Arabidopsis thaliana: one gene and its partner. The protein of the gene in region 1 interacts with the protein of each later gene in a biochemical or structural test. Each region holds a gene or a part of one and is shown on either strand. Other genes may lie near its edges. The genes, in order: CPSRP54 and ALB3.

Region 1 (7,684 bases):
ATTTGAAACACTATCACATACACGGTAACTTTCAGCATCATCACCATGAGTCCTAGAGACATTATTCTCGAGTGTCTTGACGGTTGTAATGAAAGAGACAAACAAGTTGAGAGAAGGATACCGACCACGAATTAAAAAGAACGTATCCAACCCCACTTGACTGTCAATGTAGACAGGAGGGCGTTTAGTATCTATCATCACTAACATCTCTCCCGGCATCCAGTAACTAATTATGGGATTGATCTCTATGGATTTCAAACTGAAAGCCTCGCTTAGTGTACGTACAAATTCCGTGTACGTCCTGTTTTCCTTAACACGTACACAACGACCAAACATGTTTTCCTTTGGTTCAAATTTCCATTTATCTTATTTGCATCTCCACTCACCGACCATAGTAAATACGGGAATATCCATTACCCAACTGCATCATAAATTCAGGAGAAACCCATTAAATGCAACTGAAAACATGATTATATCTACAAAAATAAATAGAATTTCGATGTACACACTTAGAAACATAAATATTTACACATTTAGCATTTTCAACCAACAAAATTGGAAATAAAAAAATTCTGGGTTTTTCTATAAAAAAACAAAGTCGATTTCGAATAAAATGAAGATCATAGCGTGTTATAACAAAAAAAATCTTTAAAACTTCATTACTTACACGATAATGCTTATCTTGGCTCCAAACTTCGTAAATAGACAAGATCAACACTTCTTGAGCATCAATGTACGTTCGCAATTAATGTTTGTTCCTGGATTCATCTTTAACTCAACAATTATTATCAATAATTTTATAATATAATAACATGTAATGATGATTTTGCATTAATTATAACAAGAGTCACGTCTAAACTTTTTGGGCCATTAAATGTTGATGTCATTTCGTTTATAATGAAAAAATCTCTCTTCTAACTGTACAGCGCGCTCCTCAACGTGAAACAAAAATATCTCTAACTAAACCGGAACAGTGTACCTAACTAAACCTGACTAACTAAACCGTACATTCAACAATTTCTCATCTGTAGCAGCAAGGGCAAAATGGTCAAATTTCAGCTGAAAAGACAAAACGTGAAAACCACCTTTCACTTTGGCAATTCCTGAAAATAAAACATGATCAAAGGGTGTGGCTTGCAAATTACCCTTAGATAAATGAGAAGCGTATATAAAGAAATTAGTAGGAGCGTATCAACTTAAAAAAGGAAAGTTTGTTACCCGAACCATGTATAGCTGTTAGATTATCACCTAACCGTGTATAACGGCTAGATTATCACCGAACCTAAGGTTGGTGTTTTGCTCTGGGCTTTAAACAAACCCTAAGTGAAAAGGAAAAAGGAAACTTGAGTCTCAAACAAATAAGTTTATAAATACCTGCGTCTCGCGTCTTCTATCTCCACGAGTTAAAAGATGCAATTTCTCTGATTAGCTTTATTATCAATTCTCTTCTTCGATATCTGTCTGCTTCAAGATGATGATGCTCTGATTCTTTCTTCGCCCTTCGTTTAGAAAGAATCATTCCACAAGTCAAAGCCCAAGAAAGACTCATACATATACAACGGATCTCTGTTCACTTGTTATAGCTACGAAGAAGACGAGAGAGAGAGATCATCACACACGCAAGCATCACGTCTCGTATAAACGACGGAGGATATTCACTTCGCCGTCAATTTGGGACCACATCTCACCGTAGAAAGAGAGAGCGAGACGATTCGAAGGAGTTAAAGGCTTACATGTCGCCGGGATTTAAGGCTTTTGGATTCATGATGTTGGAGGTTTTCTCCGCGATGGAGATTGAGCAGGTGGAGGGATCGTCGGAGATTGGGGGATTCGTTTTTCCGGTAACGGTTACTGATGATCGCATGTGCTCTCAGATGGTCGATGTGTTCTCGGAGGCCCAACACAAACAATTTCAGCCCATCAAACAATGAGCCCCATTGTCAGGTTATTTCGCAACTCATTTTCTTGTTTAATTTAGAAATTAATATATTTTTAATTAAAGGGTTTTTCCTCAGTGATGTCGAAAAAAAGGGTTTTTTCTCATTAATTTTTAAAAAATCTTTTGCAATTTTTATTCAAGTTTTTGTTTAAACTTTAAGTTTTTTTTTTATTTTTGAAGTAATATTTTAGATCAAGTGTTTTATTTTTAAAATATACATAATATTTTTGTTTTAAATGTTAAATTTTAGTATGTGTAAACTAATTGGACACAACATCCCGTCCATAATATGAGATCCTTAAGCGGTGTTCTAGGTTTAATATGTTTACATATATATAAATGTTTAACAATTTTTTATTTTAAAAAAATTTTAAATTTGTATTTTTTCTACCACTATTTAAACTTTAATATTTTTTTTATTTCTAATTAATATTTTAGATAAAATAATTTTTATATATACATAGTATGTTTTTTGTTTTTAAGTGTTAAATTTTAAATATGTGTAAACTAAATGAATACAACATCCCGTCCATAATATAAGGTCCTTAAGCGGTGTTCTAGGTTCAATATGTTATACACATCTTTAAATTTTAACATTTTTTATATTTTAAAATATATTAAGTTGTATTTTTCATATCACTATTTAAAATTTAAGGTTTTTGTTTTTGTTTTTGTTTTTGTTTTTATACAAAATATTTTTGTTTTAAATGTTAAATTTTAATTATGTGTAAACTAATTGGACACAATATCTTGTCCATAATATGAGGTCCTTAAGCGGTGTTCTAAATTCAATATGTTTATACATATAATTTTTTTACATTTTAAAAAAAATAAATTAAAATTTGCAATTTTTTACCACTATTAAAAGTTTTTTAATTTTTGAAAAATATATATAATAGTAAAAATACTTAAAAATATCTAAAAATAACCGAAACACCAGAAAATATCTAAAACAATGGATACTAAATTTTAAAACTGAAAGAAGTGGAACCAAACTGAACTAAATTTTAAAATATTCAAATAAACTTTATAATCGAAAGAACCGAAATCGAGTGGAACCGAACCGATAACCGATTGGGTAATCGCGGAGGATTACTTTCAAGAAGAGATTCGTGATCTTAGCCGTACACTTGTCGGGATCTGAGCCGCGCCTGTAAGGAGAAAGAGAGAGATGGTTCTAGTTTTAAAATGCAGCGTTTTGTGGAAAGCTCACCATCGACGGTCTGTTACTGGGCCACGTCATCGAAACGGATAAAATGGAACCATCCAAAAGGAAGATAGAAGTACCAAGAAGATTGCGGAGAGTCGTGAAAAGTTTTGAGCTTTGATCACTCACTCACTAGTAATGGAGGCTCTTCAATTTTCCAGCGTGAATAGAGTTCCTTGTACTCTGAGCTGTACCGGAAATAGGAGAATTAAGGCTGCCTTCAGCTCTGCGTTCACCGGTGGCACCATCAATTCAGCTTCTCTGTCCTCCTCTAGGAATCTCTCCACGGTTTGGCTTCAAAGTTTGCTTCTTTTCGTTTTTTAGTTTGGTGGTTTTGTAAGATTTTCTGGTTATTTAGTCTTGTTTGTGATGTTCTGTGTTGAGTAGCGAGAGATATGGAGTTGGGTGAAATCGAAGACTGTTGTTGGCCATGGAAGATACAGAAGAAGCCAAGTGAGAGCCGAGATGTTTGGTCAGTTGACTGGTGGCCTCGAGGCTGCTTGGAGCAAACTCAAAGGCGAAGGTTCGGTTTTTTTCTTTCTTATTTCGTTGCCCGTGAGCTCAAATTAGGAGGAATGAATAGAGACTAAGTTTTATTGATGTATTCAATGAAGAAAACTTTGTAGTTAAGAGTAGTGTTTGCTATTAGAAGATGCAGAAAAGATGAGCACGGGTTTAAGCTAGTTACGTTATTTGAACTTGCAGAGGTCTTGACTAAGGACAATATTGCTGAGCCAATGCGGGATATCAGAAGAGCTCTCCTGGAAGCAGATGTGAGTGGTGTTTTATTCTGTTTCATTTAGGTTCTTGTGAAGAATGTGGTATAAAAGTAATTTTGTTAACAGGTGAGTCTCCCAGTTGTTAGAAGGTTTGTTCAGTCTGTTAGTGACCAAGCCGTTGGAATGGGTGTCATTCGTGGAGTCAAACCAGATCAGCAATTGGTCAAGGTAATTAGCAATAAAACCGGTTCTTGTTTTTGTTTCATTAGCATAATGGTTTGATATTTGATTCACTCTATGATGATCATTTTGGTATCAATAGTACTCAAGTGTGGCTTATCATGGCTTTATTGCAGATTGTACATGATGAGCTAGTGAAATTGATGGGTGGAGAAGTATCTGAGTTACAGTTTGCTAAATCAGGTCCTACAGTAATATTGTTGGCTGGGCTCCAAGGAGTTGGAAAGACAACGGTTTGTGCTAAACTAGCTTGTTACCTAAAGAAGCAGGTATGAATACAGTGGAGATTTTGATGGGATTGTTTGTTACTACTTTCTGTCAATGACACTGACTAATAATGATGTTTACAGGGAAAATCTTGCATGCTTATTGCTGGAGATGTATACCGACCTGCTGCTATCGATCAACTTGTCATTTTAGGTGAACAGGTATTGAAATGGCTTAACCTCTGTGTGAATATGTGATGATATTTGATTCCGGAAATCAATATTCCCTGATGCCCTCTTTGTGTCAGGTTGGTGTGCCGGTTTATACAGCAGGGACTGATGTAAAACCTGCAGATATAGCTAAGCAAGGTCTAAAAGAAGCTAAAAAGAACAATGTTGATGTAGTTATTATGGATACTGCAGGGAGGCTTCAGGTAATGTTTCGTCTTTAAGAGTCATTGTATCATAAATCTATTGCAGCTTCAGTCATGAAATTGCCTCTTTGTGACAGATAGATAAAGGCATGATGGACGAATTAAAAGACGTGAAGAAATTTCTGAATCCAACAGAAGTGTTACTAGTTGTTGATGCCATGACTGGACAAGAAGCTGCAGGTACGCTGTTTCTATTTTACCTTTGTCAAGAAGATTCGAGACATCCTGAAAATGGATTAGATTCAAAACCGTAGCTGTATCGGTCATATACTAAGATGAGCTTCTGTACTTCCTACAGCACTGGTGACGACATTCAATGTAGAGATAGGAATTACAGGAGCCATTTTGACAAAGCTAGATGGTGATTCAAGAGGTGGTGCTGCTTTGAGTGTCAAGGAGGTTTGTTTTCTTCTTCTTTAATCAATTATTTTATAGAAATTTACTTAATGTTGCTCAACATTGATAGTTTACACTTAAATGGGTGTTACTAGGTATCAGGAAAACCGATTAAACTGGTAGGACGTGGAGAGCGAATGGAGGATCTTGAACCCTTTTATCCAGATCGAATGGCTGGACGAATTCTAGGAATGGGAGATGTGCTTTCATTTGTAGAGAAGGCAACAGAAGTTGTAAGTTCTTTCTCAGTAAAATTACAATCAAAACTATGTTTTCCTCTCCCTCTCTCTCTATCCATTGAGGCCTTCTTCATCTGTCTTTATAGATGCGTCAAGAAGATGCAGAAGATCTGCAGAAGAAGATAATGAGTGCAAAGTTCGACTTCAACGATTTTCTAAAGCAGACTCGTGCTGTAGCGAAAATGGGTTCGATGACACGAGTTCTTGGAATGATTCCCGGAATGGGGAAAGTGAGTCCAGCACAAATCCGAGAAGCGGAAAAGAATCTTTTAGTCATGGAAGCAATGATTGAAGTGATGACACCCGGTTTGTCTCTGTTCCTTTCTTCCATTCCATTAAATAAACAAGCATTTCATAAACTAGATTTTGGTTGTCTAATTCTTGGTTTAAATCTGTTGGAACAGAGGAAAGAGAGAGACCAGAGTTACTAGCAGAATCTCCAGAGAGAAGAAAAAGAATCGCTAAAGATTCAGGAAAGACAGAACAACAGGTACTCTCGCTCAGATTGTGAGCTTAGTTTTGTGCAGATCTCAGACAAGAAGAAGGAGATTCTCAATACCATTTTGTTGTTGTTGGTTCAGGTGAGCGCACTTGTAGCACAAATCTTCCAAATGAGAGTGAAAATGAAGAACTTGATGGGAGTGATGGAAGGAGGATCAATTCCAGCATTAAGCGGTCTCGAGGACGCATTGAAAGCAGAACAAAAGGTTTCTTCCATTTCTTCTTCTTCTTCTTCTTCATCTTTAACATGTACCAGAGTTTAATGGGGTCTTGTAAATGTATCTTAAGGCTCCACCTGGAACTGCAAGGAGGAAGAGAAAGGCAGACTCAAGGAAGAAATTTGTAGAGTCAGCATCAAGCAAGCCTGGTCCTCGTGGCTTCGGCTCTGGTAACTAAAACTATTTCAGCCCAATTTGGTTAATTTCTAAACGGATTATTTTTTTGTATAAGTTAATGAATGAGACAGAAACCTTACAAGTTAATTACCAATTTGTTGACAAAACTCATGATTATCTAGGTAGAAATATATTCTTATTTAAATATCATATAATCGACCAAACAAAATGCATACAAATTGTACTTTTAAATATTTCATAGGCTTTGCATAACTAAAATACTTAGATTTTAGATGGGAAAAAACATTGAAGATAACCAAGAGTATCGTCTTGGGAAAAATATCTCCCCTCGCCTCGGTGGAATATCTGGAGGTCGATCTTGTCCAATAACTCGCTGTTGAAACTCAGCTGGATTTCGGCTGTTAGACCACGATGAGCTAGTGGAGCAAGAAGATCGTTGTTCAGCCATCCAAAGTTTGTGCCTAATGGCCTTTCAGCATTAACGATTCTAACTACCGCCTCGTCTTCCGAGTCTTCCTTATAAATGACCTCGCACTCGATCTTTACACCAGCCATTCTAGACTTGGAGATTCCCATATGGCTCAAGTTTTCGACTTGTATATGGAATCGATCATTGGAGCCACACTCTAGCTCCGCGCCACATTTCTTAAGTGGTATCTCCTCACAACTTATGGTAGAAGATGATAGCTTTTCTCGGGTAGTTACGTAAATGACAAAGGTGAGATCCGACAAGGAAATTTTGGGTTTGGTAAGTTTCACTTCCTTAGCTCCGGAATGTTCTCCTTCTTTGGCCATCATCACCTGTGACTTCTCTTTTCTTTGTTTTGGAATGAGTTTTATGTTATTCACCATCCATATTTTTAGTGTTACAAATCTTCTTTATATCTCACCACAATGACTCTCAATTATTTTTATGTTTTTTTGCATTAATTCTCATTAATTGTTAATTGATTAATTAGGAGTAATTTTTATAACAAAATATTGAATTCCTATAATCTCCTTTTCACATGCATATATTATTAACTTCCAAATTTATTGCTCATGGTTTAAACATTATGTGTTAACATATTTTTATACTACATTATTATTGTATGTATTTAATATCATAGGTTTAAATATAAATTTAATTAATAATATGCAATTATGCATGGCACGGGGAACCACTAAGACTATTGTCATGATATTAATATGCTGTTAAAGGGCTTTAACGGGCTTCGGGGTTTAAAAGGCCTCAGATCTTAGCAACCGCTTAAATTCTCGGTTTAGTTTCGGTTAAGACGAATTATCATCAAATTAGAATTAGAAGTTGATATTCCTTTTGGTTCGATTCAATTTGTTTTGGAGAGAAATGTCATTTCTCCTCCGCTTAACACCGCCGCCGTTATCTCACCGCCGGAGCTCATCTCTCTTTCTCAAACATCCATTTCAACAATCTCCGAGACCTCTG
Region 2 (7,616 bases), on another chromosome or scaffold:
AATGGCGTATATGTTGTATTATTACCCTAAAAACAAATAATCTTTAACGTTAGTTGATCATGCATGAAATCATCAGCAAACCTTTTCATAATCCCACTCATCTCTTTTGTGCTCTTGTCCTTCTCCATTTTGTTGTTATCTTCTCTCTTTTTTTCTTCATTTTGACCATATATCATTTCTCAATAATTTTTCGAATTTATCATGAAAAACGTAGAACTTCTACATGTCAAAAGCTTAGATACACTGAAACCATGTATTTTAGTGGTTTATGCTACAATCGTGTCTATGTGTTACTATTATTAATAAAATTTATATAATGCATATTGTTAAACAAAAAGTTGACGAAATTATGACAGAAAAAAATGACGAAACAATTTCTTTTAACTCTTTATCCACAAATATCTGATTTTTTTTTTTTTTTTTTTTTTTTTTTTTTTTTTTTTTACTAGGGAAGCAATGAATTGCTCTTTTTTTCTCTCCTGGTGTCAATGCTTCAATTATGAACGTTAACTAATTTATTGCTTTATGAGCTTCTTTCTCGTCCAAACATTCTTAAAAACAATAGTGAAAGTCTCGATTACGAATTCAATATGACTACGTTCAATTTCATATATCGCTTTCCATTCTAATTTTTTAAGATTTGGCATAGGTGTACTAATCATTTGCTTCATCTGCCGAACAAATTTTCATAATTACTTTTTTAAAGAACGCATATGCGGTTATAATTTGTACCACTCTTAACTTTGCATATGAATTTACTTAATTACTTATGCACCCATTAATCAATGGAAGCCCGAGGTAATATGCAACCTGATTAAAAAATATTACGTTATTATTCTGATGGTCCGTACATACAAATATTACTTTTTATAATTTTCCTATGTATCCTTTGTATATGAATTGAAAAGCATTTTAGAGAAATAATTTCTATTTAGTAACAAATTAATGAGTTATTACCCATAAATTATTCTTACGTCTCCATCAAAAAGTGAGTTTAGCCTTGAAAGTTCTGTGTCGACGTCGTTATGTTATAAAACAATAAATACGAACTCTTAATCGTTCGTTGTCATATAAAATTAAGAAAAAAATACAACATCATCATTTTTTTTATTTTTTTTGTCAAACTTACAACATCATCATTTCTATCAAAAATTTATGTTAAAAAACAAATTATGAAATAAATAATTATTTCACAACGAAAAATAATAATAACAAATATAATTATTTTCAAAACAACTTTAAATTTAATTTCTATATATAGTATTTGGTATAGGTCTATATATGATCGTGACGTGTGAAATATAATTGAGGAACGGTGGATGATTCTTGAAAACAATGTGGAAGATATTTAATTCAGTATGATGCTTAAAAAAACTCATAACGTTAGCTATGTTTTGTTGAATATTACATCACATAAACGTATGGGTGTGCACTTAGAGCGAGCCGGTGATTATAGGTTTGTTTTTTTTGGTAAAAAATTATTGAGAGATTATTGATTATAGGTTTTGAAGCTATCGATCTGAGCTAGAGATTAAGGAACGAATCCCTCTATGAACATTTAAACCTTGTTCTTTTTGCTTATTAACTGAGAGATTAGGATCCTAAAATCTATACAACACTAGAGATCATTATCCAAAAGATTTTACTTAGTCCCATTTGCGGTCACATTTAATTCCCTAAAAGCATGAAAATTCTATCCCATTTGTTTTTTCCACTAGACTTGGGACTCAAAGCGTAATTTATAACTATCTTACGTTAGAGAGCATTATTTACGACCATTATTTAGGCTGAACTCATTATAGACATCGATCAAGCTCTAGTGTTAAATACATTTTCTTTGTGGGATTAATCTTTAAAGGCCTTGTAATCACTTACTATTTCGTAAGTTATGAAGATTTGGGAACCGGATTATGGCTTTGGGAAGTTAAGTCCTATGACTCAAGCTTACCTTTTTAGGGTTGTGTATAGGTTCTCGATAAATGTTTCAGATTAGTTCATTTGTTTTTTTGTTTATAAAAACTACATAATATAAAACGTGGAAAGAAAGTGATAATGACAAGAAATAAAAGTAAGAAAGGTGGTGGTGTGAGAATCAGATTCGATGTCAACTAATTGAAAGAGAGTACGCAGCTTTTTCTTCACAATTATATATATTTTGTGGAAAAGCTTACCATACATTCACAAAGCATTCGAGATTTGATTTTTATAGAAAAGTATTTACATAAAGTATTTTCTAAATCGGTTTCTATTTTGTATGCTTTCAGTTTTATTTTGTGTTGGGGAAGTGATCCATGCATTGAGCTTGGAGATTGATGGATTGGTAATTAAGCCTATTAAGTTAAGCAGGCCTGTTTCTAAAATGGGCCCTAATAAGCCCAAACTACAAAAAGCACCGATATATCCCACGTTAGATACATGTCCACGTGGACTCCTATGACTGGATGTAATCTCCACCACGCGCGATCACCAGCTTCGTCTCTCATTTTCATTTTCCAATTTATTTTCAAAAAAAGATAAATCCAGAAAAAAATTTACAAAATAAAAAAATAAAAATCTCTATCTTCTTCTTCGTCTCTTCTCATCCTCCTCTCAAGCTCCAATGGCGAGAGTTCTAGTCTCGTCTCCATCTTCATTCTTCGGTTCACCGTTGATTAAACCGTCGTCATCTCTCCGTCACAGTGGAGTAGGAGGAGGAGGAACCGCTCAATTTCTTCCATACCGGAGTAATAATAACAAACTCTTCACTACTTCAACCACCGTACGATTCAGCTTAAACGAGATTCCTCCTTTCCATGGCTTGGATTCATCTGTAGACATCGGAGCGATTTTCACCAGAGCTGAATCTCTTCTCTATACAATAGCTGACGCCGCCGTTGTTGGTGCTGATTCCGTCGTAACTACTGATTCATCCGCCGTGCAGAAGAGTGGTGGTTGGTTTGGTTTTATCTCCGATGCTATGGAATTGGTTCTTAAGGTGAGTTTTAAGCTGCTAATTTCGATCTCTGTGTGTAGAATTCTGGAAATTGTATTTGTAGCTTAAGTTTTTTGGTTTGGATTTTTAGATTTTGAAGGATGGATTATCAGCGGTTCATGTACCTTATGCTTATGGATTTGCGATTATCTTGCTTACGATTATCGTCAAAGCAGCGACGTATCCTTTGACTAAGCAACAGGTTAGTGAGTGTGATTAGTTGAATTTTGCAGCTCCTCTTGTCACTTTGATTCAATTTTGGCATGTTGGTTGAGAATTTTTGAGCATTGCTTTTGTTTTGGAATCCTTTAGGTTGAATCAACACTAGCGATGCAAAATCTTCAACCGAAAATCAAAGCGATTCAACAACGTTACGCAGGAAATCAGGTGAGTTTCTTTGGATAGAGAATGAGTTACTTGTGGATGACGAGTCTGATTTGTTTGTTCTGTTTTTGGATATATAGGAGAGGATACAACTAGAGACATCGCGATTGTATAAACAAGCTGGTGTTAATCCGTTGGCAGGTACTTTCTTTTAGAAGTTACGAGTTTTGTATTCCCTTCCTGAATTGTGGTGACATATGCACATTATTGTTTTTTTTATGTTAGGTTGCTTACCAACTTTAGCAACCATACCAGTTTGGATTGGTTTATACCAAGCTCTCTCTAACGTGGCCAACGAGGTACATATACCTTATGTCTCTTTCAACTACTGATTTCGCTAGAGACCGGATAAGTTTGTCTCTTTCAACTACTAATTGTTCTAAAAACTTTTTTTTTGTAGGGATTGTTTACAGAAGGTTTCTTTTGGATTCCATCTCTGGGTGGACCAACATCTATAGCTGCTCGGCAGAGTGGATCCGGCATTTCGTGGCTTTTTCCGTTTGTGGTAATGGAAGAAAAAAACTTTATGTGAATACGTTTTCTCATTTGATACTTATCTTTATACTAAAAAATTTCATACAACTGAGTCTTTTGCTGTGCAATGAACCTTTATCAAATTGGTGTCTAATATCGTTCGGTGGTGCAGGACGGGCATCCACCATTGGGATGGTATGACACTGTAGCTTATCTTGTTCTACCTGTTCTACTTATTGCCTCCCAGTATGTGTCAATGGAAATTATGAAGCCTCCTCAAGTGAGAAATAAACACAAGTTTCTTTTATTTTTCCTGTTACTTAAACAATTTGATATGATTGTTCTGAAACCGAATTTAATTTCTTTTGTCAGACTGATGATCCTGCACAGAAGAATACGCTTCTTGTTTTCAAGTTTCTTCCACTCATGATCGGTTACTTTGCATTGTCTGTCCCATCAGGACTATCTATTTACTGGTTGGTTTCCCTCTCCTTGAAACTTCTCATCTAACTGTTTTATCCATGCCCTTGATCTACTCATTAAATGGAGTATAAGAAAGATTTTCTCTAGTAATTAACCTAGATGGCTTCATTCTCAAAATGTACGTAAGACGGGTTAGAATTTCGAGGAATACGAAGCTTGTTTGATAAGGAATCATCTAGTGTGACTACATTTTGTAACATCAATATTATTGTATATGACTGTGTTTATTGGTAGGATCTGAGTTTTATTTTTTCCCTTTTTATTATGCTACTGCTTATGTTAAACCATCCTATGGTTTTAGGCTCACAAATAATGTACTTAGTACCGCCCAACAAGTATATCTGCGTAAACTAGGTGGTGCAAAGCCAAATATGGATGAAAACGCAAGCAAAATAATAAGTGCGGGACGAGCAAAGAGATCTATTGCTCAGCCTGACGATGCTGGCGAAAGGTAAGTGAATCCCGAGTCTAGTGGAGATTATATCTCTCAATACGAAGCGTTTTTCTTACAAGTTTGTTATTTCTGATAAATGTATATTGGATCACAACAGATTTAGACAATTAAAAGAGCAAGAGAAGCGCAGCAAGAAGAACAAGGCGGTTGCGAAAGATACAGTTGAATTGGTAGAAGAATCTCAGTCTGAATCAGAAGAAGGGTCTGATGATGAGGAAGAAGAGGCTCGTGAAGGAGCGTTAGCTTCGAGCACAACAAGCAAGCCGCTTCCTGAGGTTGGCCAACGAAGAAGCAAAAGATCGAAGCGGAAACGCACTGTATAGAACCAAAGCAAACGAAATTGCAAGTAAGGAAGAGAAAAGAGAGAGATTTGAATCTTGTTCCTTAGTTTGATCTTTTGATATATATTTGCATACACCATGTCCGGTAATTATCTAATATTAGGGCACAAAAAGGTCATTCTAAAGTTAAAAGCAGTAGTTGATCAAAGTAAATTGTTTATGTGATTCATCTTATTATAAATGTATTAACGTAAATGTGTGTACTATTATGACTTTTCAACATGCCCGCTTCAGTTTTGTTAGCATTTCGTTGTTGTAAACTTGCAATCTATTTGTTTGGTGCTTTTATTAGCTTTGTCAGCTTATAAAAATGGTAAATGTGAATCAAGTAGTATAGTAATTTGTGCAATAAACGAGACAACGATTCCCCATGAATAAACAACAATTACTTCCTGACAAAGAAGCATTGTTCTTTGGATTGGCATGGATAAAATAGAGAGAGGTAAAAATATTACGATTTGGATTGGGCTGAGGCCCAAGATATGGTTACACGATTTTCAAATTCTCGAAGTTGTACAAGTAGACAAAAGACATCTTGTTTTGTCGTGTTGTCGTTTGGTGTTTGTCGTTTTGATGTGTTTGTCAAAGAACCCTGTTACTAATCTGAACGAATATAACTTGTCAGTGTAGCCACATTACACTAATATTCAGAGAAAGTTGTCATGTTGTTACAATCATGAGTCACATAGCATGTAATAGAGTGTACATTTCAATAGGTTTAGAAGTTTAGAACACATAAATCAATCGGTCCATCTAAAATGTTTGCATTATGGTTTACTCATTGTAACTTGTAAACATTACATATGTGAATGCTTACTATCCTAGAAAAGCAAAACTGTTGGAAACAGCTAAAAATTAATATATCTGCCTAATATTTTCAGAATATGTTATTTTTCAACCATCCGAAATAGTGCTATTTACCAAAAACACACATTAGGATTAGTTTACCAATGAAGGAAACAAAGCTTCGTTAGTCACAAACCACATGCCATCATTTTATTCTTTAAAGAGCTTTCAAGCTTTTGACTCATAGAAATAGAATCCAATATTCATCTCTTTTAAACTGACATTAAAGCCCTTCGCCTCCTTAAACCCACATGCTAAATTCATTGCCTAACCACCCAAAACATCCAAAGGGTATTTTCGTCACTCCAAAAAATGTATGCATATCGAAAAATACTTTAGCTTATATACACACACGTCGCATTGGCACACCTTTCACACCAAAAGCTACACAATGGCTAAAACCTCTCTTCCTCTCGCCGCCTCCTTCCTCCTCCTCATCTCCTTCTCCTCCGCCGTAGACACTTCCCGTCTCTTCCTCACCGTCGTCAACAACTGTCCCTTCACTGTCTGGCCAGCCATTCAACCCAACGCCGGCCACCCCGTCCTAGAGAAAGGTGGCTTCGCTCTCCCAACTTTCACTCACCGCTCCTTCAACGTTCCAACCACACACTGGTCCGGTCGCATCTGGGCCAGAACCTGGTGTGCCCACTACAACGGAAAATTCTCCTGCCTCACCGGAGACTGCGGAAACCGCCTGGAATGCAACGGTCTCGGCGGGGCACCACCAGCTTCTCTAGCTCAGTTCGACCTCCACCACGGTGGTCACCACGACTTCTCCTCTTACGGTGTCTCTCTCGTTGACGGTTACAATGTTCCGATGACCGTGACTCCTCACGAAGGCCATGGTGTCTGTCCTGTCGTTGGTTGTCGTGAAGATCTAATAAAAACGTGTCCGGCTCATCTTCAGGTCCGGTCACACAGTGGACACGTGGTGGCTTGTAAGAGTGGGTGTGAGGCTTTCCATACAGACGAGCTGTGTTGTCGTGGTCATTACAATAGCCCTAACACGTGTAAAGCTTCGAGCCATTCGCTGTTCTTTAAGCATGCGTGTCCTTCGAGTTTCACTTTTGCTCATGATAGTCCTTCGCTTATGCATGACTGTGCTTCTCCTAGAGAGCTCAAAGTCATCTTCTGCCACTAATGTTTCGGCCATGTTCTAGGGTTATTGTCGTAACATCGGACTGATCTTCTAATGCTTTTGTTTGGTTAGTCTGATTTTGATTGGTTTAGTATGCGATTTCCCGGTTCAGTTATGTAGTCCAACTATGAAATTATGTATTATCTTGAAATTGCTCTCTTTAATTCTCTTTTTTTATTTCGATTCTGTAATGCTTAAACATTGATAGAGAAGTTATAATTGGAATGGTAACAATTTAAAAAATTTTGGTTCAAGAATAACCATTTTGAAAGAATGATTTGTTTTCAGTTGATATTCACGGTTTTTACTCGATATTAAAAAAAAGGTACATTGTTTTTATTCGAGGCTTGCAGGCTTAGACAGTGTTTTGTTCTTACACCTTTTTATTTTGTATTTGTCGGTAAGATATTTTATATCACGAGTTTCCACATTTTTTAATGTATAATGTGAACCACTAATCAAGTAGTATATCGGTAGTAAATATATTTAACTTTTCGCTTAACAAAAACTTATTAAAAAAAAAAA

What was found.
Region 2: the proteins of CPSRP54 (region 1) and ALB3 form a complex in vitro, tested with the Arabidopsis thaliana proteins (one study listed by BioGRID).

What each region holds. Positions count from the first base shown.
Region 1 is NC_003076.8:1,058,858-1,066,541, reverse strand, and holds CPSRP54 (chloroplast signal recognition particle 54 kDa subunit), read left to right. Parts: upstream 1-3,116; 5' UTR 3,117-3,284; coding exon 3,285-3,434; intron 3,435-3,533; coding exon 3,534-3,669; intron 3,670-3,851; coding exon 3,852-3,919; intron 3,920-3,991; coding exon 3,992-4,093; intron 4,094-4,221; coding exon 4,222-4,374; intron 4,375-4,455; coding exon 4,456-4,533; intron 4,534-4,619; coding exon 4,620-4,745; intron 4,746-4,822; coding exon 4,823-4,925; intron 4,926-5,043; coding exon 5,044-5,144; intron 5,145-5,236; coding exon 5,237-5,374; intron 5,375-5,466; coding exon 5,467-5,686; intron 5,687-5,784; coding exon 5,785-5,870; intron 5,871-5,961; coding exon 5,962-6,087; intron 6,088-6,169; coding exon 6,170-6,277; 3' UTR 6,278-6,436; downstream 6,437-7,684. Other genes in the region: AT5G03944 (uncharacterized protein), read left to right, coding at 1,734-1,931; AT5G03930 (F-box protein), read right to left, coding at 6,499-7,035.
Region 2 is NC_003071.7:12,354,142-12,361,757, reverse strand, and holds ALB3 (63 kDa inner membrane family protein), read left to right. Parts: upstream 1-2,189; 5' UTR 2,190-2,599; coding exon 2,600-2,974; intron 2,975-3,062; coding exon 3,063-3,173; intron 3,174-3,283; coding exon 3,284-3,358; intron 3,359-3,435; coding exon 3,436-3,496; intron 3,497-3,580; coding exon 3,581-3,654; intron 3,655-3,755; coding exon 3,756-3,860; intron 3,861-4,001; coding exon 4,002-4,109; intron 4,110-4,201; coding exon 4,202-4,305; coding exon of another isoform or gene 4,306-4,339; exon of another isoform or gene 4,340-4,613; coding exon 4,614-4,763; intron 4,764-4,863; coding exon 4,864-5,089; 3' UTR 5,090-5,437; downstream 5,438-7,616. Other genes in the region: AT2G28790 (Pathogenesis-related thaumatin superfamily protein), read left to right, coding at 6,270-7,094. UniProt on the Arabidopsis thaliana protein: Required for the insertion of some light harvesting chlorophyll-binding proteins (LHCP) into the chloroplast thylakoid membrane.